2 linked regions of the Styela clava genome follow. The protein of the gene in region 2 purifies or fractionates together with the protein of the main gene of each other region. This does not show direct contact. Links are inferred from orthologs where the notes say so. Each region holds a gene or a part of one and is shown on either strand. Other genes may lie near its edges.

The links.
Region 1: the proteins of striatin-interacting protein 1 homolog (region 2) and striatin-3-like purify together in Drosophila melanogaster (affinity purification with western blotting; 4 studies listed by BioGRID, with this or other methods). This does not show direct contact. The link is inferred for Styela clava from reciprocal best matches to the Drosophila melanogaster genes Strip and Cka.

Annotation. Positions count from the first base shown.
Region 1 is NC_135261.1:20,431,506-20,447,567, forward strand, and holds the start of striatin-3-like, read left to right. Parts: upstream 1-7,212; 5' UTR 7,213-7,311; coding exon 7,312-7,392; intron 7,393-7,710; coding exon 7,711-7,824; intron 7,825-8,269; coding exon 8,270-8,373; intron 8,374-8,835; coding exon 8,836-8,903; intron 8,904-9,568; coding exon 9,569-9,644; intron 9,645-10,717; coding exon 10,718-10,879; intron 10,880-11,519; coding exon 11,520-11,661; intron 11,662-12,223; coding exon 12,224-12,362; intron 12,363-12,783; coding exon 12,784-12,888; intron 12,889-13,910; coding exon 13,911-14,018; intron 14,019-14,968; coding exon 14,969-15,090; intron 15,091-15,325; coding exon 15,326-15,384; intron 15,385-15,866; coding exon 15,867-16,031; intron 16,032-16,062.
Region 2 is NC_135258.1:5,849,576-5,866,759, reverse strand, and holds striatin-interacting protein 1 homolog, read right to left. Parts: upstream 7,278-17,184; 5' UTR 7,179-7,277; coding exon 5,189-7,178; intron 4,814-5,188; coding exon 4,695-4,813; intron 4,132-4,694; coding exon 3,967-4,131; intron 3,175-3,966; coding exon 3,079-3,174; intron 2,396-3,078; coding exon 2,174-2,395; 3' UTR 566-2,173; downstream 1-565. Other genes in the region: putative tubulin polyglutamylase ttll-15, read right to left, coding at 13,102-14,613.

The sequences.
Region 1 (16,062 bases), on a different chromosome or scaffold from region 2:
CCTAGCTGTCACGTCTTTTGATTGATAAGCCCGCAATCTATATAGACTGGAAACAATGAAAACGTATCAAACGCGCCACTCTCAGCCCCTTTATTCACAAACAAGACGCAGGCATAAATCAGCTCCTTCTTATATACTTGGCAAAGATCAGCGGTTTTCTCAAATGAATAAAACACAATTGATTAACTCAAGTCACAATACATATATCAACAACGAAGGGCAAAAATTTTACCAAACGTTTTCCGATCCGGTTGGCTAATACAATTTCAATATATATATATCAGATGAAAAAACAGTCCACAATATGTACAAATATAAGCGGCTATCACACGCCGAATACGTGATGCAAAAGTGACAAGGAAAACGCTACACCAGACAACATATAAAATTACTAATTTAGGCTACGACCAAAGAAAAAGGGGTGATAATAGGTCTTCAATAATTGGGTGCAAGGCAGCGCACTATGAACTGCATACGGAGGCAAAATGTACAATCATTTCAAACCTAATCGTTTACAACGAAACACTAGCTTTGCCAGGTCCTGTGGCAATGATCCATTCTTCGCGATTTAGTATCAACGTGAATTGAAATACTAACTTATCCGAGTCACTTCTGTATTACCAGATCAGGTACCGCAGTCTTTCGTACCCAATTAAAAACTTCCCACTTTCGCTAGGCACAAATCCACCAACGTTCGCTGAGCAAGAGATCCGTTGATATGCGTTCGCGGAACCGCCGCAAAGTCTGCAATTTCTGATGACGTCATAACACACAAAAACGAATTCCATAAAATATCCTCACAGAAATATTTGAAATACATAAATAGCCCTCTAGCGGAAAATACAATCTTTGACCAATGACAATTTTAAAGCAATTGGCCCAGTTATCAAAAAGGTGAACGATATTTAAACAACGATAAAATTATATAATAAAGAACAAGAACAGCAACAGCATAATATCAAAACAATTTTTCTGTAACTTCGTCCAACTAAATTTTCATGGAACCTAGTTGCAGTGCAGGTGGCACCGATCAGAATGTGTCTTATATATATTTAGGTATGAAATGCTGGCCAAAACTCTCGAGTGAAAAGAATGACAATTGAAACAAAGCCAAGTCTCAAGTAATCAACGTATTGGCCATCATTAAGTCCACAATTTTGTACCAAATAACTGGTTAACTATTCCCTTGATGACAAAACATGGGGCATCATATATGATTAGGCCGTCTTATCGACTTCCCTATACCCTGGATAAATATGATAACTGTAGAATGAATATCAGTTACCACTGCTGACATCCATGCATTAAATTCCATTACTTGCTTTTTATTATTTAAAAAAAATGAAACAATATTTCAAGAATTAATATTAATCAACAATGCAGACACAATAAAAAAATTGAATAGATTCCACATAGTACAGTTTCTTTATTTTTGCTATGTTCGAGTATTTACCCTTTTTCAGTGACAATATTTGTCTTTATTTCTTATAGTGTCAGTTAATTTTTGTAAATATTCAAACTATGGCTTTCTGTTATCAATTTTGCATTCATAAAATCGGCCAAAAAAATGGACATTTCCCCGATCCTTCGAACCCAGAAAAATTCTCCCTATACTTTACCATTGCAAAAATTTTGAGAGCGTTCCGGAGAATTGGCGCTTACAAACTGGTTTTTCTGGTAAAAACCATCATTTTTTAGAAGCGTATTCAATCACATGTCGCTTACAGGTACTGAGAGCTAATTTTATCCCAGTCTATCACAGCTCTTCCGGGACTAATTTTTAAATACTGGAACCAAACTAAAGCGTCTCAAAAGACAATCAAGTTATTTGATTTACAGCTGATTTTTGGGAGCACAAGTGAAAACCGGCCAACAACACGCAAAATCACGAAAAAATGGCAACCTTTACACCCATGATTGTAAGTCTATCCGACGACTAACATACCGTCTGTCTGAGCAATGACATTAAACAACATGATGCGCAACTCCGGCATTTTTGTCCGAAGATCGTATTCGATAGCACGCTCCAATGCACATACTTGACGAGACGAAAACGAGCGGATGTGTGCTGCTTTCAAGGCGTAGCACGAATGGTGTTCGTGCCTGCTTTGACAGTTGTTGTCGATTTTAATGATATTTTTGAAAGTTGGGGTAAAAAGAAATCGGTAAAAGGTAAGGTGAATACTATTGTTGTATATCACACCCGGGCATCGCACTGTTAAGTACATGTGGGAAAGCCAGCCTTTGTCAAATACTACGAAGTTATTAATTCAGTACGGTACGTAGTTGCCCATTTGCCGAAATTACATATTTACTTACCCCTTATGGTTTCAAATAGTTCATGCACCTCCAGTTAGATTTTTTGAATCAGTGAGGATATATACTCATTGTTGATTGCTGCTCATTGTAACATACTATTACGCATTCACTTTTATTTGCGTATTGAATCAAAGTGTTAACAAGTTCACCTAACATTTCACTCATACCGGTCTATATTGTATAGTCTGATTTCTCAAGTATTTGGAGGCACGAATGCTTGTAATTTTCTGACTAAACCCTTTTATTAGTTGGTTTATATACCAAATTCAGTAAAATATTTTTTAAATAAAACATGAGATATTGGATTTATTAGCTTTTCCATTCTGAATCATATAGACTGCTTTATTTATTCTTAACGAAAATTAATAAATCTCCTCTCTTTCCTCAGATGTGAAAGTTGTGGACAAACCTGTCTAAGCATTGTGAGACTCTTGCAGCACAAGAGGCAATAGCAGAAATAGTAAGTATATCAATCAAAAAATTAAGCCGACATAAAGCAAAACTTTCAACTATTCGTCTAATCTCAATTTCCTATTATTTATTCACAGGACAACTATAGCAGACGGGGAGATATCAGAAGTCTGGCGACATATCAGTGACAGTGTGATTCCAAGAAATATAATGCAATTGAAAATAGAAATTTGCAATAGAAAAACAACCTATGGAGGCATGCAAAGACATTTGACCCTCCGGTAGAGTTGTGTATGGCCCCCACATCCTGCAGGGCTTGAGGAAAATAACTAAAAATTCCAAAGCGTAAGATTGCATAAGCGGTCTTATTTGTAAAAAGGCACAAAACACGCCAGACATACTTAAAACAGCTTTGGAAATGAGGATTACGGGTACCTCACTGCACCTGTGTTATATTTGGTTCATCAACTTTTGGTAGTACTATAGAAGAAATTCCGGAAGGGGTATAATCATCATTCATGATAAAATACTATCATATATTTTTTGAACAACTTCAATCTAGACCAGGGATCTCAAACTCGCGGCCCCAGAGAACTTCCATTCCAGTGCGGCCCTCGAACGCTTAACAATAATTGTAATAGTATTTTGGAAGTTTTTTTTTTATCTAAATGTAATAGATTTTTCAAACCTTCTAAAGTGAAATTGATTATTCACACAGAAAACAATTTACTGAAAGTAGTTTTGGAATATTAATTTTTTTGTCCACATTTTGACCCAATTAAGAATACACATCAAGCTAGCAAAAGAATACTTGAATAAAACACTTGAGTAATTAAATTAAACGCAAAGTACATGAAGAAGGTGGCATTTTCGAAGAAAATGGGAGTTGTAACATTTCTGCTCTTCACAAAATTCTGAAGCACATTGTTTAATTTGTCATATTTCCATCAATACAATCAAAAAACACAATAAGCTCAGCAGTCAATATGACAAATTCGAAGACCAACTTCGAACAGAAAATTTCCATGTGTTTGTATATTAATATAATTATACAACGACTTAGTTACTAAAAATCAATATCAATAATAATTCAAGCAATCCTATGCCACGCAATGTAGTGCGAAATGTCTTGTCGAAAAAATCTGTCATTTGTTTTTTACTGATCTATACATGAAATGATAAAAGTAACTTTTTTGCATTACTGGAATTAATTAAACATTCGTAAAGATCCAGATAAACCCATGATCATGTGGCCTCGTTAGTTAGAGTTGGTACTATAAAATCATTTCAGACTGGCCTTAGTATGCTGGTGACACAAAAAAGATGCCAAACGCCAGGACAAATGTAATTATTAAAACATTGAGTTTATACTGTAGTATTTTTGTCAATTTTAGGTTCATATATTTAGATTAAGGTATTTTTAGTGTATGTATTATTCTTTCCTAATTCAAAGCTTGTTCAAAAATGATTTTGATGGTTGTACATAGAATTTTACGATTTTTTATAATAAATACTGTAACTTGCAAATGTTGCAATAATAGTGGAATGCAAATATTAATATGTAATTGCATTTGAAATTGAAGAAAATAATAAAACTTAATCCAACTGTTTAGTTGCATCACAATATATGTCACAAACTAAAACTATCTTAAAAATATCTTTTAAGTATACATTATCAAAAACTGTTTGCGGCTCTCGAAAACCCATGAGTTTGACACCACTGATCTATTCTAGACGATTCAAGCATTGCTTTGGGAAATTATATCACTTCAATTAAATTGAAATAATCTCGCTATATTAAAAACAAAATCGTTGCTATCATAAAGGTAAACCAATTCAGCCACTCGAAATATATTGGCCTTCACAAAGCGATGGAGGCAAAATTGAGAGTTCATGAGCTATGAACATTTGTTCTTTTCTTTGTCTTGAACTTTTCATACTCCACAGCCCCTATTAATTTTTTTTAATTTTAATTACCATGTGATGGTCATACATATCTTTAACTTGTATTTTCTGTCATGATGTATTATCTCAATGTGCCAAACTATTAATTAGTGTGCATATTTTGCTTCCAGATGACATAAATGTATTGTCATGTTTATTACCTCAGCTTGGAGTATTGACAAGAAAAAGGTGCCAGTAAATTAGGTAAAAAAATTTCCAACTCATTGTAATAATCAGAATTCACAATCAATAGGAATTATAAACAGCCAACAATCAGTGAGAATTATATGCGAAATCCCTCAGAATAAATTTGTCTAAAATCGGAGGAAGGTAGTTTCCATCCACACAAGCATTTCAAGAAGACTTGCTCGAGCCAAACTAAATGAGCATCGTCAGGTGATCGGTAAGGCTGCAAGTTGAATTCAGCCCTGCAACCTCCTGCATAGAAGATAATATTAATTAGTGGGCTATGAGCTAAATTCCTAAATTTAAACAAACCTATCTACGATGCATTATGTACCAGCAATGTTACCTACGATTAACTGAATATGTAATATGTCTAATAAATTCACCTACAAAAGCAAGTTCGATAGGTGCAAACTTTGTGTTATGGAATTGTATCGCAGCACAGTTTTGTATGACACCCTCTTTAAATGAAATTTCAATGATTAAGCGCAAACATTAAAATTACTAACTTTGAACTTTGTCATTATCTGCAAAATGTTCCACACAAATCTTTCCGCTATCGCGTTTGTAATCTTCTCTGATAAAAAAAAAAAACGTCTATGATGTCCAGAATTGCTCTTTACAGCTTGCCTGTTATTCCAGCTTTCCAAGTAAGCAAAACTTCTTAGATATAGAGATTATTTTGTTTCGTTACAGGCGCAAAAAGGCAGGTACTACACGTAAAAAAGACGCCGAGTAGCAAAAGCGAGCGGAAAACGGACGCGAAAGGCGACGAAAAATATGTGCATTGGAGCGTATCATGAAATACAATGTTTTGCCTGTAGTCTTATGGAGTGACGTCAGAGTTGCCTATCATGTTGTTTAATGTCATTGGTCTGAGCGAAAAAAATGTCTGAGCGGTTACACAAATTGCAATTGTTACGTCATTGGTAACTTATTGCTGATTTGTAATTGTTACGACTATAAACAAGGATATCTATGATCGGGGAAACTGGTTTATGTTGCCAATGACATTAAACATGACATTAAATGGCCAATTAAACATGTTTAATGTCATTGACATGTTTAATGTCATTGATGTTGCTGAAAATCTCTTGTTCTTATTTAAAAAAAATTACGACTCCCAGTGGCGATAATAAATTGCATTGAATAGAATGTCTGAATGTAGATGTAAAAGAACTGAGAGAGGCCCGAGCGAGAGAACGGAATAGCCGACGACCCCAAAATCACCAAACACAGAAGCAGGCTAAATAGATGTCTTTATTTTTTTTATTTAATAATAATTCACTTTGTGGAACCATAAAAAAAGAATAGAACCAGACAGGTATTTCTCAGAATACATAGCATTATCGCTCGTAGCCTATTCGGTTTCTTTCTGCAGACTGATTCATGAAGTCTGGGGAGTTGTACCGGTACCGGTACCGGTACCGTATTCTCGAAACTTGACTGCTCGCGATACTGGTACGGTAACGGCATACAAATTTTTCACCCTCCAGCAGTTTGAACTTGCAAACTTGACTGCATGAGCCTGTAGCTGTACCGTACCCTAATCCTGTACTCCATTAAAACAGCTGATACCGTACTGTGATAGATTGTCAGTGCTGTTATTTCTGTATTTAGTGACCGGTATCGTATCTGCTGATCTGGTTATTGTGGCAATTTGGTGTGGCTACGACAAAGAGAAATGATGATTTTGCTTGCTTAATTATATTAAAATTAATTAGAATAGGTACATTTTGTTATAAATTAAGATTCCTGTATTTTATTTTAATGATCATTCTGTCATTTATTTAGCTATATAAATACTGTCAGATTGTAGATTCTGAGATTTCAGGATTCTGGGATTGTAATTCAATTATTCTTTTGTTATCACTAGTGTGATATAAAATTTGAATTATGAAAAATTCTATCATTATTGAAAATAAAACACCCAATATTACCGTACTATTTAAAAAGCAGATAAAAATGACCATAACATACGGTATAGGCTAGGTACTGTAAAATTTCAGAGTAAACAAACCCTTTGCAAAGCAATTACAAAATTTGCGTTTAGCATCAATTTAAAAAGTAGACTAAATTATGTCCATGTTAAGTTTTTTGTATTTGCTTATTTTGTATTTATGAAAGTAACGCTGGAATTGCCCAGCATTAAATTTTTCATATCCTAATACTGCTGCACTGTAATAACTTCTTCAATAATATAAGTGTGTCGCAATGGCTGAAATGAGAAAAGACTACTTATGTGGCTATTCAACAAGTCAGTGAGTACTGGAGTAGCAGTAGCCTATAGCTGTGTAGCAAAATAATGAATATGAATATGGTGTCTGTAATGAAATAAGATATTCAATTTTCTCATGGTACAGCAACAAATTAATAGCATATTGTATTAAATATACATTTGAAAGTGTCACAAAATTAATTATATATGCCTTTGATAACTTGAAAAGTTTGATGTTTTATTCTTCCATGAATATGGATGCCGATCTTCCCATCAATGGCCAAAATGGGAGCGGAAATCAAGATGATCAACACGTGAGTATATTTCAATACTTTATTAATATAGAAAATGGAACAGACCCATTTCAAAGTATATTTGAATAGTAAATCATTTGGTTTTCGCAACCACTGATAATATTCATTTAAAATGTTGTAGTTTACTGTGGATATTAGTTCTGTATTTTTTTCTGTAAACACTGCATGCAGTTGGAAAAATAACAAAAACATCATTCATTTCAATTTATCCCCTTCCCAATTTGCTAAACAACAAGTAAAGATAGAACTAGATGAGTGATATTTTGTTGAATAAATAAAGTTCTGTCCATTTTCACAGATTGTTTTGTTTAATTTTAGGTTGAATTAAAATCAGGATATACAATGCCAGGAATACTTCACTTCATTCAGCATGAGTGGTCCAAGTTTGAAATGGACAGAGCACAGTGGGAAGTGGAAAAGGCAGAACTACAAGTATAAATGAATCCTTGTTATGCTGTACTCAAGAAACATCTCAAGATTTATTGACATTGTTATACCAGACATACAGCGACTGTAGTATTGATACTGACTGACATTAATTAAATTTGGACTGATATCTAGCGGTATTCATGGCTGTGAAATGCAGTGCATTTTTCACTCCTCTTACTCTATGAAATTATAAATTTGAACTCGAATCATTTTGAAAATATGACTCCAGTTAAAAAACATGCCAAACTATGGCTCCACATCCCCGCTTGGTAATAGTGGTCACAACTGGGGCAAGGTCATTTATCCCATTTGGAAGTCTCATCTATGCTTTATCTCCAGATATGTTTATTGAATACACATTGTTGATTCAACCAGATATGTCCTAACTAATCACCTTTTGATAACAATGTTATAGAATGTAAAATGTTGATAATTGTTATGTTTTTAGGCTCGTATTGCATTTTTGCAAGGAGAAAGAAAGGGCCAAGAAAATCTGAAACGTGATCTGGTCAGGCGTATCAAAATGCTAGAGTTTGCACTGAAACAAGAAAGGTTGAAAAAAATTCTTTTATTGCATTCAATGATTTTATTTTTTCATATTTCAACTAATTTTTAAATAATTTATTTTCATAAATTCAATTGATCTGTTATAATACTTGTCACTTCAATGGACTAAATCAATTTTTACCTCTTTAATAAAGTGCACAAATTATTAGTAACGTTTTAAATTAATAGTAAGATTTCGTGAACACTGATCAATTTTTATGTGCAACTTTGCTAATCTAATTCCTCATTTAAAAAAGTAAAGAGTAGACGAAGTAGGGAGTAGCATAGCATCTTTGTCCTTAATGTTTCTTCATAAGTTCTTGCTTTGTAAGAAAGTTTCTATTAGCTATTCTCACGAGCCTGTACATATTTACTGTAAGAGCCTTAATATTTAATACATGCATCTTTCTTTCTTTCTTTAAAAATATGTTTTTTCAAACAATTTGTAACATGTTCTGATACATTTAGAGCAAAGTTACATAAACACAAGTTTGGTAGTGATGGACCAGAGGACGATAGCTTGAATGAATCAACAGGTAAATTCAATAATTTCTCACAAACCAACCATATTTATAGCCTATATAACGGCCTGATATCAGTGTCCTCGTATCAATCTTTAATATTAGTTTCATTCCGGGTCAGTAAATCTGTAACAATATTGCAATATTCAGTCCATTCCGTTCATTTTGATATTGGTCATTTTGCCTCTTCCTGTAAATCACATGGGCAAACAATATTTTTGATGAATATAATTATCTATCTACGGATAAAGTGTGTGTCAAAAGTTCCAGTTACCCCTATTGGTCTTTCAATAATAGCCTGACTGCAAATTTGTATTTGTTGGATGTTGTTGTACATATGTGGATATGAACATCAAATATGAATTTAATACATTCCATTCATTTGTCATAGTATGGCCTCTCACACAAATAATAACGATTTTGGTATTCTTGTGAATCTGTGATCTCTATCAAAGAGAAATTGCTAACATCATAGATATCAACCTTTTTGGTTCTTTTTATTTTTGATCTTTTTTTTTTTGAGTTTTGTACTACCATTGTTAGGAATTATTATAATTATGCCATTTTATATTGTGTTCTTCAGATCTTTTGTCATGATTTGTGTGATTGAGTGGAATACTATTTTAATTTTTCTTTCAACTTCCACCAGACATCACTGATTTTAACCATTTGTATTTCAGAATTTAAGCTTGGTGAAGAAATCTCACAAGGTAATACGCAGATGTCATGGAGACAAGGAAGACAACTTTTAAGACAGTAAGTTTGTTATATCAATATATTTGTTTCATTGAAATGTCTTGCTTACCCAATTGGTATTGATATGAAAACAATAGAAGATCAACACTCATTATATATGACAGGAAGTACTCTTTTGGTAATAGATTTCAACAGGCATGTGCGTATGCTTTTCATTGAATACAAGCTATATTTATATAAATAGCATAAAGGGGGTAAAATAATGAACCCACTCAAGTACTGCTGATTGGAAAAAATTAAAAGCAAAAAATAGCATGGTAACGACACCGTTAATTAACTGCTAAAACATTTATAGGAAATGGTATCGTTCTAGTAGTACAGTGCTTATTAACCTGGGTTCGGTGGAGCTGTCCCAGGGGTTTGACGAAGGTGCATTGAAAAAATTTTTCACCATGTGGTCATTTCATTACCCAGTTTTCACTTACCGGTATGTGAAAATTATTATATTCCACGCAGACAGGCTCGCAAAGGTTGAGAAACACTGGTCTAGTAGGTGAAAAATGGATAGGCTATGATTTTATTACAACAGAAACAGGGCAACCAGATACTAACAGAGGGTACTAGGCTAAAACTGTATTGAACTGCAAGTCTTTTCTCATTCTTAGACACAAACAGTTTCAAAAAAAAATATCTTCAGATTTATGCAATGTGAGGTTAACTTCAATTAAGCAAGCGATTTTAAATTCAACTTAATCAAAAGATTCATGGAATGGTCATATGACAGCTGTTATTCCATAATACCAGCTCTAGAGATAATCTTAAAATTATATCATATTATGATGACTTCCACACAATTTCTGTCAGTCCTCACATGTATCTTTGAACTTCAATGATCCTTCAGGTTCTTTACATTGACCTACTTTCTTTCACTCAGACCAAGGGCTAAATTGTTCAAGTGTCCACTCAATGCCTGTTCATATGATGTGAATGTACAATGTACTCCCATATTTCCCTTAAAATGTCAATAAAGTAATGCATTGTGTACCTGATCGCTGTTATTTCAATGTTATTTTATATAGAGTGCAAGTGAAAGAAGTAGGCTTACTATTAATAATATTTTTTACTGCATTTAGGTATCTTCAAGAAGTTGGTTATAGTGATACAATATTAGACGTGAGATCACAAAGAGTACGAGCATTACTTGGTAAAAGTTATGAGGTTGCTTCACCCGGTGCTCAAAACAAAAGCAAAATTGTAAATGGAATCTCAGAGAAAGATAACAATGTTTCTGTCAAGTATGTTTTTTTTCTATATGTGTTATTCTATTAAGCACTGTTCAAACACTGGTTTTGTTTTCTATTTTGTTTATTTAAACTAAAAATTTTCTCGAGTGAAGTTGCATGATCACTGATAGTGATAGCCGAGGTGCACTTAGATGCTAATAACTACATGTGTAGTTGTTATTAGAAAGAATATATTTCGGACCGTGCAATTTTCTCGAAGATATTTGAATTGAATGAAACCTCTAGTCATTTTTAACAATGCAAAATTGATCATTCTGTAAAGTGTAAACCATGCTTTCATGATTCTACGAATCGAAATCGAAAAATTTATACGAACGAATACCATGGTCACAGAATATGGATATTGAGTACCACACACACGTGTGAGCCACGGAAATGAACCTATAATGAAATAAATGGAACATTATGGAGCTATTTTTTTTTCTCATATTGTGCGACTTTGATTGCTCGAAATAATAATTCTTCAAATGAACGTATTCTGAATTATTTCGATAATCAAGATTTGAAATTTCTGGAATAAATTAAATCTTGAATCGATTCAATTAGCAGAGTCATTCTTGATCTTGACTATACATGAACCATTTTTTGTTAAGAATATTTCAATATTCTCTCTCTTTCTGGATTTACACAGCCCTTCTGAAGCAGACATAATGACCAACTTCGATTTTTTGACTGGATCGCTACATGATGAGATGGGCGATGACGATGATAATGATTCTGATCAAATAGACTCTGGAGCAGGAGACCGACAAAAATTATCCAGAATCAAAAATGTATCTGTTTATTATTTCTTTACAAGTTTATAGACCAGTAAATTTTGAAAGCAATCCTATATCTGCAAATTGGACACGTTATTTATTATGCATGTCAATATGTGTTTCAAGTACGCATACTTTTAAAGAAATTGTAATTCACGTCAAAGACGACCAATTTCCTTGTTAATAGGAGTGTTTTCATGCAAAAGGATAAAACAGGGGTGGGCACGGTTTTTGAATCAGGGGCTAAAAATTTTGCCCACTTGGACTGGCGGACAAAGTGGGACATAGAAAAAAGTAACATTTTATGAACAATATTTACAGTATTACAAAGCAAAGGTGGAAAAAATGCGTCTCATGCCATAACTATTTTTAACTAAAAATCTCAACAAATTCCAAGAGCTATTTTTAGCTAAAACATCAAGATTTGATTTCAGTTTGGCTGTGGCAGCATCGGGTGGGCCGGATTGAATTACTCAACGGGCCGTACTTTGCCCGTGTCTGGGATAGAATATACTTTGTGTCTTTCATGCCTACTTATTATTCAATTTCCGAAGCTGAGTTATAATATTATTGTTAGCTTGTCGATGATGATGATGATGATAATGACGATGATGATGAAGACCGATTTCCAGAAGACCTAGAATGTGATATAACTGAAACTGATTCTGCACTTGCTGAGTTTGATTTTTTATCTGCCACCGAAGGAAATGATGCTGGTATGTTATTTAATTAGATGTGAACTAGGTACATACCATGCTAATTGTAAATCACAGAAAATTTACTTAAGATTTTTAAATATTTCGCATAGAATGAGTGTGAACCAATCAATGCCGACTAACTGGAAATGTTAAAGTGATTTTTTCATTTTCGAACAATACTTGGTCAATCAGAATTTATTGGTTATTATTAAAACACTTCCTGTGTAGTGTATACTTTTCGGTACTCTCGTTGTGTATGTACCAGGTTATGGTTAGGCCATAATTTTATTCCTTATTTTAGTTTTACTACGAGTTCAAGGACTGTCTGTGTTAGCCAAGTGAATATACCCCCTGTCCATGGCTTTCTGTCCCTTATTTCCCATATTTGTACACTCTTCTGGAGCGCCTACTGTTTTACATCAAACAATTTTTTTTACAGTGGACTCTGGGCTGTTGGTATGGCAAGTTGATAGAAACAAGCTTAATGCCAAAAAAGAAAAATTTAAAGAGGAGAAAAAACAGTCTAAGAAAAAGGGGCTCAATCGTAAGTCGTAAAAAAAATGAATATATTTTTAGCATTTATTTCAAAATCGTATACTCAAGAAGGTGATTCTACCAAGATCATACATTGTATCTCAGAGTAAGTAATCAGTGATTTGGCTTTTATGTATATGTAAAAATAGTTTAATTAGTCCTGCTAAGTGCTATGTATTAGAGTTGTACCGATACCACTTTTGTCGCCGATACCGATACGCCGATACTACAAAAATGTCGATATTACCAATATTCCGATACCGATACTATGTAATTATTACCTAATTAGGTGTGCTGTGTAGGGCAGACGGGTTAAAACAATAGTCTATGAGCGTTGTTAATAGTACACATTATTTCAGATCGAAAAAAGATATATCACAAAATATGAAATTGATGTTTGGTATCCATATGTTTTAACTGATTAAGATACATTGTACAGTAACGCTAGTAATCTCGGTGTTCAATTAGAAAACTCATAAGCCGGGATGTTTAACTTGAATTTAATGTGAATATCGCAACATTCGAATATCGTTATTCAAGTTCAAAAGAATATTGAATATCACCTACACATTCTAGCTCTGCCGTCCTACGTTCAAATTAAAAGCATTTTACTAATATTTTATTACGTGGCTAATCGTAATCGTCGACGCAATAAGTCAAAGCCAACATGAAAGAATATCAATCAGCACCGACAATAAGAAAGCCTACTATCTATAAATAACCATCGAGGATGTTTTTTTACTTTACTATTTTATAATATTTTACAATTGCTATCATATATTTTGAGACAGTCTAGGGCTAGACGGTCATGTCAATATACATCGGTACATCTCTACTATGTACAAGTACTACTATGTACTCGTATCCATGATCCACGAATGTAAATAAAAAATTTCCAGTTGGATTAAATATTGATTGCACAAGAATAGCTTTGAAGCCCAACCTTCAAACTGACTGTCCAACTGAGCCCGAATTGATAATTGTTTTCGCTTTTGTATCACAAAATGGTCACAACTTGTTTCATTTTATCAGGGCCAGTCAAGAAAGATCTTCAAAGTATGTTGGAAACACTGCAAGGATCATCAGATGGATTACCCCCATCTCGTCTATCCTCTGATATTGATATGAAAAATGAGGAAGGTATCGAAAATATTTTTTTCTCTTTGTATTTCATATCAATTCTAATGTAAATTTGAAAATTGTGCTTTTATTGAGAAATAATATTATTCATAGGCAACTTTTTTTCAAATTTTTGAAATCATGTGTATTGGTGATATTTTCTGTATGATCAAAATACTGAAACTCAATATAGTTCTTCTAACTGAATAGAATATTTCACTCCTGGATGAGTTCCCAAACAATCACACTTTGGTCCTTAGAACATGAATGTGAATGTGGATTTGAATGCCTTTATTTCAAGCCTGTATATGTCAGAACAAGCCGTTTGACCATATGACTTACCTTACGTAATGTCATTGAGCTTTTCGTTGTCACAAACATCCCAGTATTTATAAACTATACGTGACATACAGGAAAATTAGATGGGTTCCTCACTAGAAACGAATCTCCCTCAAAAGTATATGGTTGACTCAGATTCACCTGATATGTAAAATTAAGGAAAGAAATTTCACATTTTGGTGATTGTTGTTGAGGACTCTACTATTAGCCATTGGTTGCCACTTGGTCCTATATTGGTATACTTCACTAGTAATTAGTATTATAAATGATGTAAAAGATTTTTGAGACTGCAATCCAAGTCCAACTGAAAACGAAATTCTCATTTTTAGAATCTCGAAATGCAGGAAACAGATGTTTTTGTAACATGCAAAATGTTTAGTGTTTTATTGACTCAATACTGCATTTCGCATAGAGAATTGAGGTTTTCCTGACATTTGTATTACAGTACCTCTGGCGTTTTGTATGTGGATACATATACATTTCCAATTTGTTTTATCTGACCGTTTAGGATCATCTGTGGCACGAGCTGATTATGAACAAGAGACGAACGTAATTTCACTCATTAAATATAGAAAAAAATGCACACAACATTTTCAATACTTATAATAAAAATATTCATGTATTCTCTTCAGAATCATTACCATTTTCAGTAGGTGGATCACGTAATGTGCTGGGTGAAGAATCTGATGCTTTGAGACTTGGTGAACTTGCTGGATTAACAGTTGCGAACGAAGCTGATCCTTTAACATATGATGTGAGATTTGTCCCTAATTTGTTAAATTGGGTGATAGTGACTAAAATATGTCTCTCAGCAAAACTTAGGAATCTTGCAGCTAAGTGGCCAAAGGTTTAGAAACTAAGTCTTCTGAATGAATTTTCATGCAATTCAGATTACCCAACATATTACTGACTGACCAACTTCTAATATTGTTAAAGCATAATATGAGTGGAAAATTTTCTATATTTTGATTTTACTCCTTTCTACTTAGATATCTTCAACTAAAGATTCTTTCAGAAAAACATGGACACCTAAGTTCACATTGAGAAGGTCAATTCGTTTCTTCATTCGTCAGCCGTTGTAGTTCCATTGAGTGGAACCAAGTATTTCTAGAACTAACAAAATCTTATGTTTTGCCTGTTAACTAATAAGTCAGCCTATTCTCAGCAATCAGTTTGTACGCTCTAAAGAACGTAACTGGCATGAATCGCACTTCAGGTCATTAAAAAGAGGTATTAGTTGTGTGTCCTGCTGTGTTTGAGTCTCTTAAATATAAATTGGGATTGGCTATGCGAAAAAAAAAACACTCGAAGACCGTGTTGTGGTAACAAGTTATTAGACCTTGAATATATTTATTGCTATGTATGTGCATGGCTTCGATATTCATCATTGTAATCACAATATTTGACTAAGTCTGGCCATGAAAAATTCAATTAATATAGATAGGCTCAATAGTTAGTGTCAGGATTTGATTAGATTCTGATGCAAATATGAAGTTCTCAGAATTACAAATTAAATATTTTTATCTACAGTCACTTTGATGGAGTTCGCGACATAGCTTTCTTACCAGTTGACTCTGCAGTCATAACTGCTTCAGAAGACAACACTTTGAAATTATGGAATTTAAGTAAAACCTTGCCAAGTAAAAAATCTCAAGCTCTTGATGTGGAACCTATATATAGTTTCAGGGGGCATATGTAAGTTCCAACTTCTCTTTATTTTGTCATG
Region 2 (17,184 bases):
ACTCCTCGCCGTCGTTGGGTGGTTCACGTAACCGCTGGTCGGTTACGGCTTCCTCCACCACCAAGTCCATGCTTCCGAAAACAAACAATACAGTAAATCTAATCCCAAACCCGACTTGGAATGGTAACCGGACGAGAGGCCGTGGTTCGCCATATGGATAAGCCGTCTTATCGGCTTTCCTCTCCCCCGGGATAAATATGTAAATCCTATCCTATCCTATGTTTCAAACTCTTGGGTCAATCAAAACAAACACAGAACTTCCCGACTTGGAGGTCCATATTACTTTCGAATGACTTTAATTCTGTGGTCTCATCAAGTCAAGTTAATTTTTTTCAACCAGTAAAAAGATGATGTTGATAATTAAACAGTTTTACTGCAGAAGGGAAGCCGCAGGAAACCAAAGCGACACCCAAGGTTTAAATTTTAAATCTTAACTTCTGTTTTCGATGGTGAGAAGCGTACTAATCAAATTAATGCTGCTTACTACTCGAGATTACATTAAAGACCGACTGCTGCTGCCGCCAATTATCTCAAAATAGTTAAGTCAAAACGACGATCAGACAAGTTCCAACTGCACAATATTTTATGTTAAAAAAATGATCAATCGATTGAAGCACATGCAAATAAAGATTATATTTTCTTGAGTAAGTCAACAGTTTTCACTTCTAAAAATTGTTAAGGCTCTTTTCTGAACTTTCAGATTTGACAGTGAATAAAAAAACAAGACTAATTTTGGATCCGAATGCAGGAAAGTTCCGATAAATAGTGAAATTATTGGTTTTCAGATATTAATTGTATGCATTTCATTTATACTATGAGACTTCAACTGCTCAAAATCATTTCAAATAAATATTCTGAATTATTTCTAAAATTTTTACAAAAATATCATTTTTGCACATCATGTAAGTTACTTGGTTGAGTTGAAGATATAACATATTGTTTATATCAATTACGCCAAGTACTACAAATGCCAAGCAAATAGGTCAGTGGTTCTCATAAGTGGGTTCTTGAGGGGCCGTGAAGCTGAATAAAAATATTTGTTAGATTTGAACTCGCCCTACTTAGTTTGGATGTTTACGTTCCATTCACATACTTTCAACGTGTTTTTTGAATAAAACATATTTCGCCTTACTATCTGTTATTTGTATCAGTTAGTTATTTTTGAGATGGGCACGACTAAAAAAGTTTTAGAACCACTGAAATAGACAGACATGATCGAACGGTTACATTCACCATGAATCAAAATCAACCTAATAAACTGAATAAATTTTAAAATAAAATTTGAATTTATGAAAATGCTGAAATCACTCAAAAGCACTGATTAATTCAGGTCCATTATTACTTTTTACTTTTCAAAAAAAAATCTAATATTTGAGGTATACTTTCAAATTTCATCAGTGTTGAAAGCAAAAAACTCAAAACTGTTCGGAAAAAACTGAACTTTTTGACGGCTCAGAGCTGACGGTCATGTAGAATTTATCTATAACCCTAATAATGAATTTCAAGCCTTGGGAAATATGAAAAGATAACATGTAGAATAACCTCTATGTATCATAATTCATAACACTTTCATCATAAAATATATAAACTGATAGAAAACGTGTCTTTTTTAACTTTTCTTCGGAATGCGCATTTATGTCTTTCACTTTAAACCACGCATAGAGGAAAGAGAATACATACAGGGTTCGCTACAGATCAACACATTCATTAATAATCGAAAATATCAAATGATGAAAACAAGCCTTTCAACATCCAGACACGTTTTAAACTTTTTTTTATGCCCTTCACTTTGAACACTTTGCTCTTAACAAGCAACCACTGTTAGGTAAGAAGCTGCTGTAGTTTGAAAGGACTGGAAACTTTCCCTTTTCAAGATTTACAATTCAATTTGTTTTACCCCGGTTAAGGTGAAGGCAGTGGCTTCCCTACACCCCTCCCTCCTATAAAATTTCTAACATCCCCCCTAACTTTGAGGTGTGATACCAAACTTTAATTCCCAACTTAAGTATAGTTTCATTCAAATATATAGAATATGGCATATTCTTCAGTGTAGATGTAGATGGCCTGTCAAATACATTACCCCCCTTCTATAAAATGAAAAGCAGGGGAGCATACTGGGTGAAGGGGATTTAAACCCAAGATTAATGTTTCCAGAATAGTGAGGTTATCTTCACTACTGCACACATGATATTGAAAGCAACTGGTCCCAATCTGTAGTTGTAGAGTACACTTCTCGTTCCAACCAGATATCATAGTTTTTCACAAACTCATTTGGAAGGTCAAATTTCTCTCCAAGGACACTGTGAAGGTCATTGTCAACCGGTTCATGGTCTTGATTTGGAGGAATAATAGTCGGACTGTCCGTCTTGTATCTTCTGAAGTTGAATCTTTCCACCTGGAAATGAAATGCAATCATGTAGGTTGTGTTGAATTAGAGTCAAATCAGAAGTACAGCGTTTCTCAAACTATGCCATAAGACCATAGAGTAGGCACTGCACAGTGATTCTCTGGAAATGAAATGCAACCATGCGGGATGTATCAAATAAGTATGTCAAATTGAAAATATTCTAGTCCAGTCCAGTCTCAAACTTTTACGATCCATTGATCCCTTCGCACTCTCAACACCTGTGGTTCCCTGCTCGGCGCTCCAGAAGTATACGTACCAGAATGGAGGGAACTAATTTTGTTCGCCTACTTTACATCAAGGTATGTAAGGGGACTGAAACCTATGGGTAGAGGGTAGGGATGGGCCGAGATTCGGATCCGGTCTCGGATTGGAGTAAAATCCACGCATTTTTTGGACTCGAGTAATTTTTATCGAGTCTATAATCAATTCTGTTTTTATTAATTTGCGCCTATGTTTGTACTTTTCCCCCTATAAATCTCAGTACATACCCTAACTGGGTAAAATTCAATGTTAGATCAGTAACAATATTCCTCGTATGTATTATATACAATCCTAACCTGGCACATACACTACTGCAGTACCCCCCGTTCATCTATAACAATACTCAGGTTTTTACCATTATGGATACTAAGGAAGCGAACCAATGTAAGAAAAAGAATGGATTTTCCTACCTCAGCTCGAAGCGTGCACTCCTCTTGTTGGAAATCCCAAGGTCTGGCATCAACATCATTTCCATAAGCCCAATCATCACTCAAGCGATGTCTGACCTACGATAAAAAAGCAGGTCATTAACAGAAAATAGAAAAATAATATCACAAAAAAACGAAGCCATGGGAGCAGACTAAATGAAGAGCAAGCAGTGCTGGTTAGATGTCCATAAACTCGGGAGTCAAGTCATTTGAGGTCGGGTCAATCACTGGGTTATGTCTCACTTGTGGTTACTTGAGTCCAACTTCATTCCATTCAGTTTACTCGAGCAATACTTTCAGTTTTTGATAAATAAAGAGTGACTCGAGTAGAGTCAAGTACCTGAATTCTTATAACACTGCTAAACAAAATTCTGGATAAGAGTGAATGTTTACCCAGGTTCAAATACTAAAATAACTCGAAATCCAATTTAATTATATAAAAAAATCATAGAAACATGGATACTCCCGTAGTGTGTGTACCAGGTTAGGGTTAGGCCTTAATTTTATTCCGATTTTCCTTATTTTAGTTCTATTACGAGTTTGGGGACTGTCTGTGTTAACCAAGTGAATATCCCCCCTGCCCATAGTAATGAATCCCTTTATACAACTTGATGTAAAGTAGGCAAACAAAATTAGTTACCTCCATATTGCGCCGCCAAAACTTGTATAGCTTTGTACAAAGAGGTTCATGCATAGGCAATGAGAACAGCTCTCATCAGCTCAAACATTAAGTAAGTGTGTTAAAGCAGCGCAACCCTAGAGATGGCTTATACATCAGCGGGGTCTGATGTTGTGAATTATGATTGTATAGAAAGTAGATACGTTGCTGGATTTTAAGGCACAAGTCGCCACCAAATACTGAAACAGTACCTTCTGATAAATGGCCGACATAATCTTCATATTACTCTTCCTCCATGCTCGGCCAAGATACTTTGTTTGAGATTTCAAAAGTTTGAGAACATAAAGTTGCAACATTGCCTGCCTGACTTTTAATGCTCGTTTCAATATTGGTGATGATTTAAAGACCACAAGCATCTGAAAAAATGTTGCATGTTCGATTCTATTTTGTGGACGTGATAGCCTAGTGCAGAGGTTCCCAATCGCGGCACTTGGCCCTCTAATGGGGCAACAGAGCAGTATGAGGGGGGACTACAATACCAGGTGCAAAACTGATTTCACTTTTCCCTTTACAAGAAAATAACCTGTTCTTATTAGTTTCATTGCTTGAAAGGTTATTTCACAGGGTGTCACTTTGTTGGGCATGTAACACAATGGGATTCAGAGAGAATGACATGAACGAGAGTCATGAAAAATTATTTTCATTCTGTTATTTCTCTAGTTTTATTGGGAAATTGAAAAGATTGTTGACTAAATCCTTTGAATTGAGACTCTGAATTGGGAGAATCCCAGGCAAAGCGGCCCAAATTTCAAGTTATGGTGATAGTTGATCAGCTAACTATTCCAGATGCCAAGACTTGAATAAAAAACAGTTTAAGAGTTCAGTTCTTTAATATCACGCATTTCCTGCCACAGTGGCTTCTTTTACAGAGCCTTGTTCAAGGATTCGTAAGAGAGAGACACCTCACTACTACACTTACCATGGTTCTTGAATGTTTCCATTTTACAAGTTTATTCAAAATTCTGAGCAGATTGATGCTCGAGAATAGATTTCTCCAACAGGCTGCAGATTGGGTGTCAACTGGTTCCAGAGATTCAGCTGAAAAAATATTAAATACTTAACAATACTGGTGCAATTATTCCTTAGTCAAACATCTATCTCTAACTACCAAAAATATGAAGGCGACTAGACAAGCAGAATTTTGTCTTAAAAATAATTTGCAAATATGAGTTTAAAAAATTCTACAGAACAATGGTAAGGACTGATAATACAAAACAAAAAAATAGAATTCTAAGAAATACTTCAACCTTTAACTAATGAATTTTGAAAGCAACCACAGTTCACAATTATCTCTCAAACATAATCTTGAAATTCTGAGGGAGTTTGTCCCAAAAATTCGAATGCAAAATACGAGAGAACAATCTTCGAATAATAAACAATATAGTGGGGGACCTCGCTATAATTTCTCCATACCTGTGATTTCCACTTTCTCTCCAACAACACAAGCAGGATATTCCAATGAAGGAATGACGTTCTTCGTTGTAACGTAAGCGACAATATTCTGATTGAAGAATTTTAAAACAAGAGGAATACAATTCGCAAACACAAGATGCTGACTCATGTATTCATACTGATATACATGATTCAGCTTAAAATGTTTCAATAATAAAAGCAAAATTGCTGAAATTGATTTAACGATTATTTCACGATGACGATTGACATCGATTCCTAATCTTACTGATTGAACTGCAGAGTATGGAATCTCAGGGGGCAAAACATCAGCTAAGATATTGATTGCGTCACTTTTTGCTTTCGATGTCGGAGCTGCGGCAAGTAAGATCTTCAAAAGTGAAATCATATATTGTGGTAAATTTGGTAGAATTGATTGGTAAAGTTTTTCCGCCGAGTTATCAGGAATGACATCCAATTTTGCTTTTGTTAGGGGGTATTTTCCTATCTGTGATTCAATTTCAATTTGCTTTTCCGCAAGTGAAACATATAAATGCTTTCGAAGAATTTTAACACTCTCCTTAGTTGGCGTAGGAAGACCAGCCATAGTAGTTACATCACCTTCAAGTTGAAAACCGACAAACTTTTGACGGACTTGAGATAAGAAGATCTCAACATCTCGTTCCCGAGTTTTAGGAGTCCAGTGAAGCCCAGAAGGTACTTTGATAACATGAAGATCTTTTAGAGCATGCTCTTCCTCACGTTCTGCTTTAATTTTCATTAATTTTAAAGCGATTGCGGCAGTGTCACCCGGTGTTGGATCCCTCTTAAATGGTGCTGGCGTTCCGATACCCACTGCTGGAGTATCAATTCCTCCTCCGGGAACAGGGGCATCGATTTCAGAGTCAAATATGATGTCTTCATCAGTTTTTTCCACCTCATTTTGATCTGAAGGGGCTGGGAGTAGATCAGCTCCATTTTCTATCATTTCTTCTTTTTCAGAATCTTCGTCATCCGCTCCAGGAATGTGTATATCGACGTCAATATCACCAGAAGATTCAGATTTATTTTCCGAACCTGAAACTTCAACCACTTCTGGTCCACGTATGATTCCTCTGCGATTTTTTCTCCTCCCCGGTTGACCTTGGTCGAACAAATCCGCTGCGTTCATTGGTGGAGCAGACGCTTTCATTTTTCTAGCAACTTCAATAGGATTTTCTGCTAAACGTGGAAGCCCCGCCTCCTCTCTTTTCTTACATTTTAACTGGTGTAAATCATCAAGCCCGCCCACCATCGCCAAGACAACTTTCCATAATAATAAAAGAACCTTTTTAATTGGATAAGCTGTTATGTTGTGGTTACAGAACTTGGTAACCATATTGAACAAAACGACGAAAAGCGATTCATTTCCATTATTTGATTGATTTAACAATGTAATGAACGCATCTCTTGCTTTTTTGAATTTTTCAGAATCGCTCTCTTCAAACTGTCGAATAGTCTCGAGCATTGTATAAAGTAGACTAATCACGATTCTTAATTCCGAACTGTTTACGATAGAACACACTGTTGGATTTTTCGAATCAGGAATTTCTTTCTCATTCTTATGTATTTCCATTAGAAGTAATTCTTCTGCCAATCCAAATACTCCCATTTCATACAATAAAAAGCAATTTTTCCTGGAACTTTTCAAAAGTTCTTCAATGGTGGCAAATTCAGTAAAATTACCCTGTGCAATGTATAATAAACTTCTCACAGCTCGAAACTTTTTTTCAGAATTTACGACGTCTGTTCCATCCATTGCCTTCATAATCACAACCTTCTTTTCTTCCAAAGTCATTTCAATCCATTTTCTCTCGTCACCGAGGATTTCTTTGAAGCATTCTTGGTTTAAAGCAAACTCATTCTCCTCTGTATAACTGTACAATTCTCCTAACTCACTTATAAACGAGTCACAATCGCCATAAACGAAATCTAAATCTTCATCACCGTCACCATTTTCAGATCTTCCCGTCATTTTTCAGATTAATTAATAGCATAACCTAAGACATAATATTTCCTATTATAAAGTGAAAAAGAACATGAATTATGAAAAGAATGAAAACACAAGATCATGGATAAGTATGGATATATGGCTTTAATTCTTATTTAAAAACTCTAATATGTAAAGGGCTGTTAGACTCAAGATATAAATAGGTATAGTTATAAGGTTCCAATTGAGATTTAGATGGTCCTTGTCGTAGAGGTATATTGGGCCGCCATATTTATCAGCAGATTACAATTGTGGGTACCCCTGTAATGTGTGTACCAGGTTAGGGTTAGGCCATAATTTTATTCGATTCTCCTTATTTTAGTTCTATTACGAGTTCAGGGACTGTCTTCATGAACCATTGGAGCGCCCAATTGTGTAGCCGAGCTAAATCAGTAATTGGGGAGATAATCGCTCAAAACTTGATCCGGTTTTGAAAATTAAATCAGAGGACAAACACTCAAATTTGTCATGACTCATGACTAGGGCTGGGCAAAATATTCGAATGACATTTTACTATTCGAATACCCGGTACCACGTGACCTGCGCCGCTTTGCTTCAACACGGAATTCGGAATCGTGAATTGCCCGAGAATTCACAAACGGCGCTCGCTAACATACAAAAGCGACAAATTTTCTTTGCGTTATGATGTTATTTGTTTTCTTTTCACGCCTAACGTATCGTTTCATTTCCCTCTTTTGCAAAATAGGTCCCCACCATTGCTTTAATTTATGATTGTTCTGTAAATTATAAACGTATGACGATGTATTTAAAAAATCGGAAATTCTCATTGCCATCTGTAACAGTCACCGGGATTACGTGCGCGCTAAAGAGAAGTTTTTTCAGCGTATAATGATTTTTCTGTTGCGTAAAATGATCAAATCATGACAACTATGGGATTCCAAAATGTCTTCATATATTAATTTAATTATGTCAAACGTAACTCGCGGTTGCTTCTTCTTAAGTCAAAATTGAAACATTACATCTCTGAAATGCCACGGCGATCTGTGGACATAAAAGTATGAGATAAACTGCCGGGTGTATTTAATTTTAATAAGTATTTTTGGAATCTTGCGAACTCGTTCTCGCCGTTAGAAAAATCTCAATAACTGATATAAAATCCTGTATCTAGAGTACAATTTCATTTCGAACAATGAAAATACATATAAAGTATATCGTTTAATCAAAAATACATATTCATCGCCGCGATTAGGCCACTTGTTATAAGAGCCGACTTTTGCAATGAATAATGAGTTTTCTGTTGTGCAAAGTAATCAATTTGTGACCGATAAGAGCATATTTAAAATGTCTTGTTTTATTATTGTCTTCAATTTAACCAGCGGTTGAGTCTACAAAATAAAATCTTCACAATTTTAAAATACCACGGCAATCTGCGGACATAAAGTGTGGTAAACTGATCGAATATATAAAGCTTTATTTTCAGGACTTATAACATCAAAAAATCCATAAATTTGCTGTAATATCTCAGGTTAAAATTTATTTTAGCACAATAAAAATTGATTGAATATACATTAGATTGATTATCTTATATATATCATCACAACCCGGAGAAAATTGTCCGTTTCAAACCTTGTATAATGTTGAAATGAAAATTTTCGAGGGCAATTTAAAGTAATGGATAATATGGCCAATCCCGCCCACAATTAACAGTTCTTCGATTTTAGTGATGATATGTTTTCTAAACGCCGGCCAAACATAATGTGTGCGAGAGGCACACGAAATTTTGCGATTTTCAATGTCTAAAAAGGCGTTTTCAAACTGTCGCAACCTCAATAAAACTCATATTGTTTAAAGTTTTATTTTCAGTATTTTATATTGCCGCTTTTCAATCAAAAAATTTGCGTTGTCCTGGAGAAACTCGCCGCCGATGAACGTATATTAATTAAACTTTCGCCGGATTCGCGATTCCCTGTGTGTACAAAAATAAAATAATTATCATCGTTAACGTCGCACAACGTTGTTGAATTTATTTGATTTGAAGATAAACCAACTCATATTGTTTACGACCTAAATAACACGTCACGCTGATAATAACAATCGGCGATTATAGCAAAATGCTAGTGCACGCGTTATTGGCGACTTTTACAGTTTTAAAAAAATTTCAAAGGCAATGCACGGGTATACCTAATACATAAAACTTCGATGTCCGCCGACCCGCAAGAATTAATACTTTCAAAAAAATGAATCAGGCGGAAATACAGATTACGAACTTTAGGATCGCGGCGACAAAAACAATTAGCGATTTTGATGAATTTAACCAGTAAATAAAAAACGCTTTGTTGCCGATTTTTCAAAGTTTCTTCTTATTTTCGAAGGGAGTATCGACCTTCGACGGACCCCATTGTATTTGAAAAAAAATATTCGTTATTCGACTATTCGGTATTCGTGAAAAATATTCGAACTGTTCGATTCGAAAAAAATATTCGATTTTGCCCACCCCTACTCATGACTCTTTTTTTTTTAAATGACCATTGTGACTTTGATAATAGAGCACATCAGCACAATAAATTGTGTAATTAGGCAGCAGTGCCATTTTTATAATCGAGCAGTATAGAGTCAAAGTTAAATTTTTAGCAACCTGAAATGAGTATTTTGAATGGCTCAAAATATAGGCAAGTCGGATCACTTTTCTGAACCAACAGCACTTTTAGGCAGCAATAACATTTGTTGCCAATCGAGATGTAAGAAAAACCTCACATTTATGACAAAATTTGGGTCTAACGAAGTACACACCGCAAGTGCTCAAATACCGTCAAACAAAAAGGTGATGAAGAATAATGGCCAAAGCTGATTAAATAATGCCAAACAAAAAAGCGCTGCAAAAATACAGCCCAAATTTTCATTATTTTTTTCAATCAAGTCTGTTTGGCACAAACCACTATACCCTATTAGACATGGTATAGCTGCTCAGTTGAAAATTGAGTGGATTTCAATTTTACTAATCACGTCTCTCAAGAATTTCATTCCGCGTCAGACTTTTTAAAAAAAAACATAAAAATTTTTTCATCACATTTCTGTTTGGCGCTATTCAAGCAGTTTTGACAGTATTTTAACATCATATTCCTGTTTGACGTTATTTTAAGAGTTACACGTTTACTTCGCTAAAATTCCCAAAATTTCTATAATTATATACATTTGAATTCCAAATATACAGAACAGATATAACTTACATAAAATACAAAATAATATTAATAAAAATGTAGATACCAGTAGTATATTATTTACAAGATGATCCTTGTTTGTTACAAGTTACTTTGCAATATTCAATTTTCAACAAAAATCAATGCATTCATGATATAAGGTAGGAGAGATAGAGTTAAAAATAAAGAAAAGAAGTGAATATGTCAATCAAATGATTTATTTCATATAAAATAAAATATCAGAGCAAGGGTTATCGTTGTTGAGTATCAGCGTGTAGGCAACAAAATGTAATTTGTTGCAGGAAAATATCTTGTTTGTCATAGAGAGTATCAGTGAGTACGCAAGATGATGTGGATAAAATAAATCAGAGGAAGATTTCGTGCGCTCACCCTGAAATAAAAGAGACTACCGTAATCTCTGAGTGGGAAAAAATTCCGAAAATATAAAGAAGTAGAATTATGCTTAGCCAAAATAGTTTTATGGCTATAACAATTGTTAGTTAATTAAATTTTAATGTATTGATAAATGAGAAATACAAACACTATGAATAAAAACTATGAATAAACAAAAAAACGAAATTTTTAGTTATTGCTATAGAAAGGAGCGAAACACATTATTATAAGCTAAGGTTTACCATATCATGCCATGACAAGTTTTTCGAATAGTCAACTTGAAACTTCGGCAAATTAGATCATTTTACCTATGCCAATTGTGCTCTATATATTTTCAATAGGCTTATAAACTACACAGTTAGAATAAGATGATAATGGATCAAATTTCAGAACATCAAATGCATGATTTTGAGTTAAAATTGCGACCATATTTTTTAATTTTGCTACGAGGTGACAGTTCACAGACGAAATGAGAACAAAAGTATGTATTTGAAAAATATTTATTTCTAATAATTTTGCTAAAAAAAAATGTCATTCAAGTATGTGTTATAGAAATAAATTATATGTTCCATATTATAGTGTAAAGAAGAAAAACAAAAAATACTCAAAGTAGTCCAATTTAAAACTGGTCTAGTAGCCTATTCTACTTATCTTAGATAGGCCAAAGCAACAGGGTGAACTGGCGAACCCAAAATATTTACCAACATAAAGTTTTCATCAAAAGCGAATTTCCCTGGACAACATGGTCTCTCAGAAATACCTGGTGCTACTATAGCGCGAGTGCTACCGCCTATCACCATATGTCATCTACCCAGTGCAGCCTCGAACCAGTTAACATCGATTAAAAACGATTCAAAATGTTGCAGAAGTTTTACCGCAACTTCCTAGCTTCAGGTAGACCCCACACTATAGTACTGGCTTGAGGTATTACTCATGCTATAGCGCAGTGGTTCTCGAACGATGGGGTGTGTCCCACAAAGGCATGGCAATTTTTTTGAAAGGGTGTGGAAAAAAAAGTATTAATTAGATTTGATTTTGCCTGATTTATTTTGGATATTTACATTTTAAAACTTATCATTTATTTCATTATTCACGTTCCATCCACGTATTTTCAACATGTTTTTTATGAATAAACATACTTTCGCCTCACTATCTGTTTTCTAGCTTGAAGTAGATCCTACCATATGGGATGGTTAATATCATGCATTAGTGTGATAGCAAGCTAAAGTAGCACTAAATATTATGAACAAGAATCTAATGAACAAATAAATTTGATATGTACCCTTAGGTAATTTGATTTAAAAAAATGCACAGTTCATTATTGGAAGTAAATATGCAATGCAAACATAGAAAAAAAAACACAATTATTATCCCCTTTTAAACGAGTTTTAAATATCATTGCACAGCAGGGTAACAAAAAGATGAACAAATGCAATAAAGGATTATGTCATGATTAGAATAACAATTTTTTTAGAATAATAATATCATACTGAAAGACATTCAATACAGCAACTAAGGCGTACAAAGTAATTACCTAAGTTCATAATGACTGTTTTCCAGGTTAGCATAGCCCACATAATCAATATATTACTGCCTGTATAAGGTGAAGAGATGTGGCCATCTCTGGACAGTGCTTGAACTCAAATACTCCAACCAAGTATTCCTGAATATACCACCAAAATCACAAAACTGAGACGGTATCAAATGCATGTGATGAATGGCATGGATTATTTGAATAAAACCAACCTTCTATTTATGTTTGAGGTAGGGAGCATGCCTCCGACAGTCCTGGACTCAAAAGTCTGCAATTTTACTTTGATTAATGGTCTCTTAAAACAATGTATTGAGGCATCGACAAATACAGTATATATGGTAGAACGTGTGAATTATTTGAATAAAACTTAACTATTTATATATGAGGTTGTAGGCATGTCTCTAGTTAGTCCTAGACTTGGAACTAAAAAGGGATTTCAGAATAATTACTGGTAACCCAAAACAATGTATCAGGCTATTAACAAGTACATATAGTAAAAGTGAGACGAAGCGGGAAATGTTCGATTAAAATCAAAGTGCAATTATGGTATTCGCTGAGTAGTAACCTCCTTGTAGGGAGAGCTGTACGACAGCTTGGTAGTATTTACAATTTATGGAACGTATGGATTCCGCAGATTTAAAAATTGGTTATAAGTTACTCAAAAGTAGTTCTTCAAATCCAAACAAGAAATGAAAACTATTTATTTGGCCCCAAATTCCATTTCACTATTCTTCCTCTAATGTTCAATTAACCAAATGTCAGGCAATTTTTCGAATCAGATGAAATAAGTTTTCATCTGATTCATCAAATGTGGACTTGAGACTCAAATACACCAAGAAAGGTCTTGCAAGCATTTCCCTTTATACCAAAGAGCAAGCATCTTATCTAAATCAGTTCTTAATCTTTTATCTTTTACTGGGTTGTACAATGAAGCCAAATCTTTATCGCCTAGTGGTTTGGGATAAACTCTCTTGAAATTTCTTCTGTTAACATGATGTTTATACGCAATTTTCAAACTACTTTCAACAGGAATTACCATACATTGACTACATAGTTTGCAAATATGATCTAAGCAATATTTACATTTCAAGCATTCTTCTGGGTAAGCTACGATATCGCGATTACTAACAGACATCTCCTCTTCAAATATATTTTTCGTTGCGGAGTGTTCCCTTTGCATTGCGATTCCAACTAGTGATAGAGTATTGAATATAACTTGTCGGTACATTCTTGCGTTATCGGCAAAATGTCCGCTAGATAAATTAGGTGACATGTTCACTTCCATTGCATAAACATTTAAATCCTCATCAAGAACAAAATCGAAACGAACAAGTTCAAAAAACGATCTTGTACCATAGGGATAATACCCAACTGATCTAATAATATCTGGCTGCTTTTCCCAAATCAACTCTGACACGGCCGCATATAAATCATCAACAACTTTTTTCTCGTTAAGGCCAATTGTTTTTAAATGTTGTAGCAAGCTCTCTTTGTGTGAAAGCTTCATATTCTTATAACCCGTCTTTAAAGATGGCATTTCCCAAGTTGGAGTATAGTCATCTTCAACCACATATTTTCTAACATTCCCAGAATCGAAAGGTTCATAATCTTCAGGGCAAAACCTTATCAACCATTCATTATCAAGGACGTACACAGTTAGTGGATTAATGGAAGTAATCACAGTATAAATCCCAACGTCAAATTTTCGTCCATCCACAAGAAAAGGCTTCCTTACAAATTCCTGTATAAACGAGTCAGGTGCACTAAAATCAAGTTCTTTTTTTGTCTTTATTTTAATTCCCCTGTGTTTATTATTTTTTTGAACCCACATTTTTTCCGGATGCTTTTCAATATATTTCTTAAAATCAGTTAAATTTTGTGGTAAAGAAAACGCAAGTGGAATATACCTTGATTTGGACATAGCGAGATACCCTTTACTTGTCAAATACCCAGATCCAGGAAAATGGTTCACTTTTTGATGCGGCTTCAACGTAGTACTTGTTATTGCTTTTCCGAATGGGTATTCATACGACCACATTACATCCCAATCTCCAGATTTTTCATTCCATCTGTCAAATCCTACAGCTTTAAAAGTTTCTTTGACATGGTTCATGTATCCAGAGTCGGCATTATTTGCTGAAAGCCAGTAAACAGGGTTATTTCCACTTTTCACAACTGTTGTCACTGGTGATGATGATTTGAGTTGTAAAATTTTCAACTCTGATATACTTGACATGATATGCAGCATTCCAAACACAGAAAATATCAGACAAAATGTCTGGAATTTGGTGGTTGTGCAAAATCGTTTCAGCAACATTGCTTTTCTGAGTATCATGGGAAATGATGATATGCAAAATTATTTCTAGTTGAGAGTTTTGTCTTAAGAAATGCTACTGCCGCAGCATAGGAATCATTATTTTTACAAATTCCATGAAATTCGAATTAGACCACTGTAGATTTTTACCAATTTTCAAGCAAATGAATATGAAGGGAACTTGACTTCAAAGATGACATAAATCAGTCATAATAAATTGCAGATAAACAGAGCAACAGTTGAAGTAAATCCAATGTTCAGACAATTTGTATTCCCCTGAATTTTAAGACAAAAGTCTGTTTTCCATTTTGACAGTATGTAATCAAGGTATTGATTAAATTATTTACATTGGGATAGTGCAATAAAAAGATCAGCATATTAAACAGAAAATAAATAACTTATATACCTAAGGTACCGTAGCCCATCAAAAAACATGTAAATACTGACAAATGACCCAAAGTCTAAAAACTATCAGCATCAACTGTTATAGATTATTCACCTTTTTCTGTCTTCTGCTTAAATCCAATACCGGTATCTGAATACTGGAATATGCAGAACATAAAAGCACAGCTGTACTGGCTGTATCTATGTGATGCTCAGATGTACCATACATTAAAAAGATTAAAACTTTTTTTTTTTTTTGCCAAATTTAATTCCATTGCCAAATCGGATTTATACAAATGATAGTTTTGGTGTATCCAAATATATATTTCAATATTATTGCATGAGGTCCAAATTTTATTTTTATTTTTGTGATGTAATTTAGGTGATTTTATACAATGAATAAGTATACAATGAAAAGATAAGACAAATATTGAATAATTCAGACCAGATACATTTACCATTAAATTCCTACATTTTCCATCTATGTTATCATTTTACACAAATTAGTAAATACGGTAATCTGTTACAATGAAATCTGTTACATATTGTCATGAGATGGCCAGTGGTTGCATTGGAAACTTGATATTATAGCATGATGGATTTATTTAAAATCTCATCAATGTGTTGATCTTGCATAATATTATTTCTGCATCCACTGTCCATCAAACCCATGCACCCCAATACTTTACATTTAAAAATTGCTCTCAAACTGCATTGCATCCCATAAATCAACAGGGGTGATAACTTTTTTGTGGCTTTGGAGCCAGGCCACACAAAAGGGGCCAGGCCACGGAGAAAATGGGGCCAGGCCACAGAGAAAATGGGGCCAGGCCACAGAGAAAATGGGGCCAGGCCACGGAGAAAATGGGGCCAGGCCTCAGAATATTCGGGGCCAGGCCAGCGCAATGGTAATGTTAAGACATCCGTATTTGTTTAGTTATATTTTTGTTTATAAGTGATGTGGAAACTGGTAATGTTAAGACATGTACGGTACCGTACCGGTACTTGTACAATTGAACCGTATCGTATGTTACAACCAGGGAAAATGCTGTATTCGAACACTTACTCATTACAAATGTACCGACTCCATAATCAGCAATAGAATAGAAAATAATAGATAAAAACAAATGATAAAGTAACTGATTATAGAATCGGGAAAGCAAACAAAACCTCAAGTAAAGTTTGAAGCCTACATATTTCAGATGGAAAGGTATTGATAAAAGAAGTAGTACGTGTTCGCTCACCCAATGTATTACTTATGTGAGGGGGTATATTGCGAGCGATACATTATTGTAGTGTTTCTACTGGTCACCGTACATATACATTTATATTCCTCCCCGCATTCATTGTCTTTTTACTGTAGCGTGAACTGGTGCCTATATGTTAAAAAAAACTCAGTGAAATAAGTTATATTTATTGCTTGTTGCATACCTTTTTGTGATTGTTAATTTTTTTTAGCGAATATGTGTTGTTATTTAATTATTTTCATACAATACATGGTTAATAGATCATGGAATAATTCCACCAGTGACTCAAATGCTATTATTAAATGAAGTCCGTACTGATAAATTGTGTAGTTCTACCTGTATTGCATAGGCAATTGACAGGGGTTTACACGCTAAGATGTTTTAGATTTGTAATACAAATTGCAGGCACAACATATCGGTAGCTGGTATACGCTATCACAACCACTAGTATCCCAATACTCAACATGCAAAAAAGACTACTCTTCTCAGTTATACATTATCCCTAACAGAAAACAAGATCCATGCATACCAGTTGATAAACTGTTTCATTTATTGAAAAATATGCAAAAAAAAATTGCAAACACCAGATTGGCAGGATTCCAACATACTCTTTTTTAAAATAAGATTCATCTCCGAGGGAGTCCTTTTTGTTAGCATCTTAAGACTTTCCTATTACCGATAATTACTTCAATTATATTCAGCGTAATGAATATCAGGGATAAATGTTCAATCATAAGACTGTTTTTTCAATATAAGTCATCATAGATATATCGGAAAAGTAACAGTAGTACAAACGCATATTAGATAATCATAAGCAAGGAAATTGTAAGACTCTTTTGACTGGAACTGGTTTAGAGATTCAAGGGAAAATTCGCAAAATTCAATTTGGTATTTTTTCAAATTTGTTTTTAGCAACCACACTGGTAAGGTTGAGTATCTCCTACACAATATAAAACCAAAA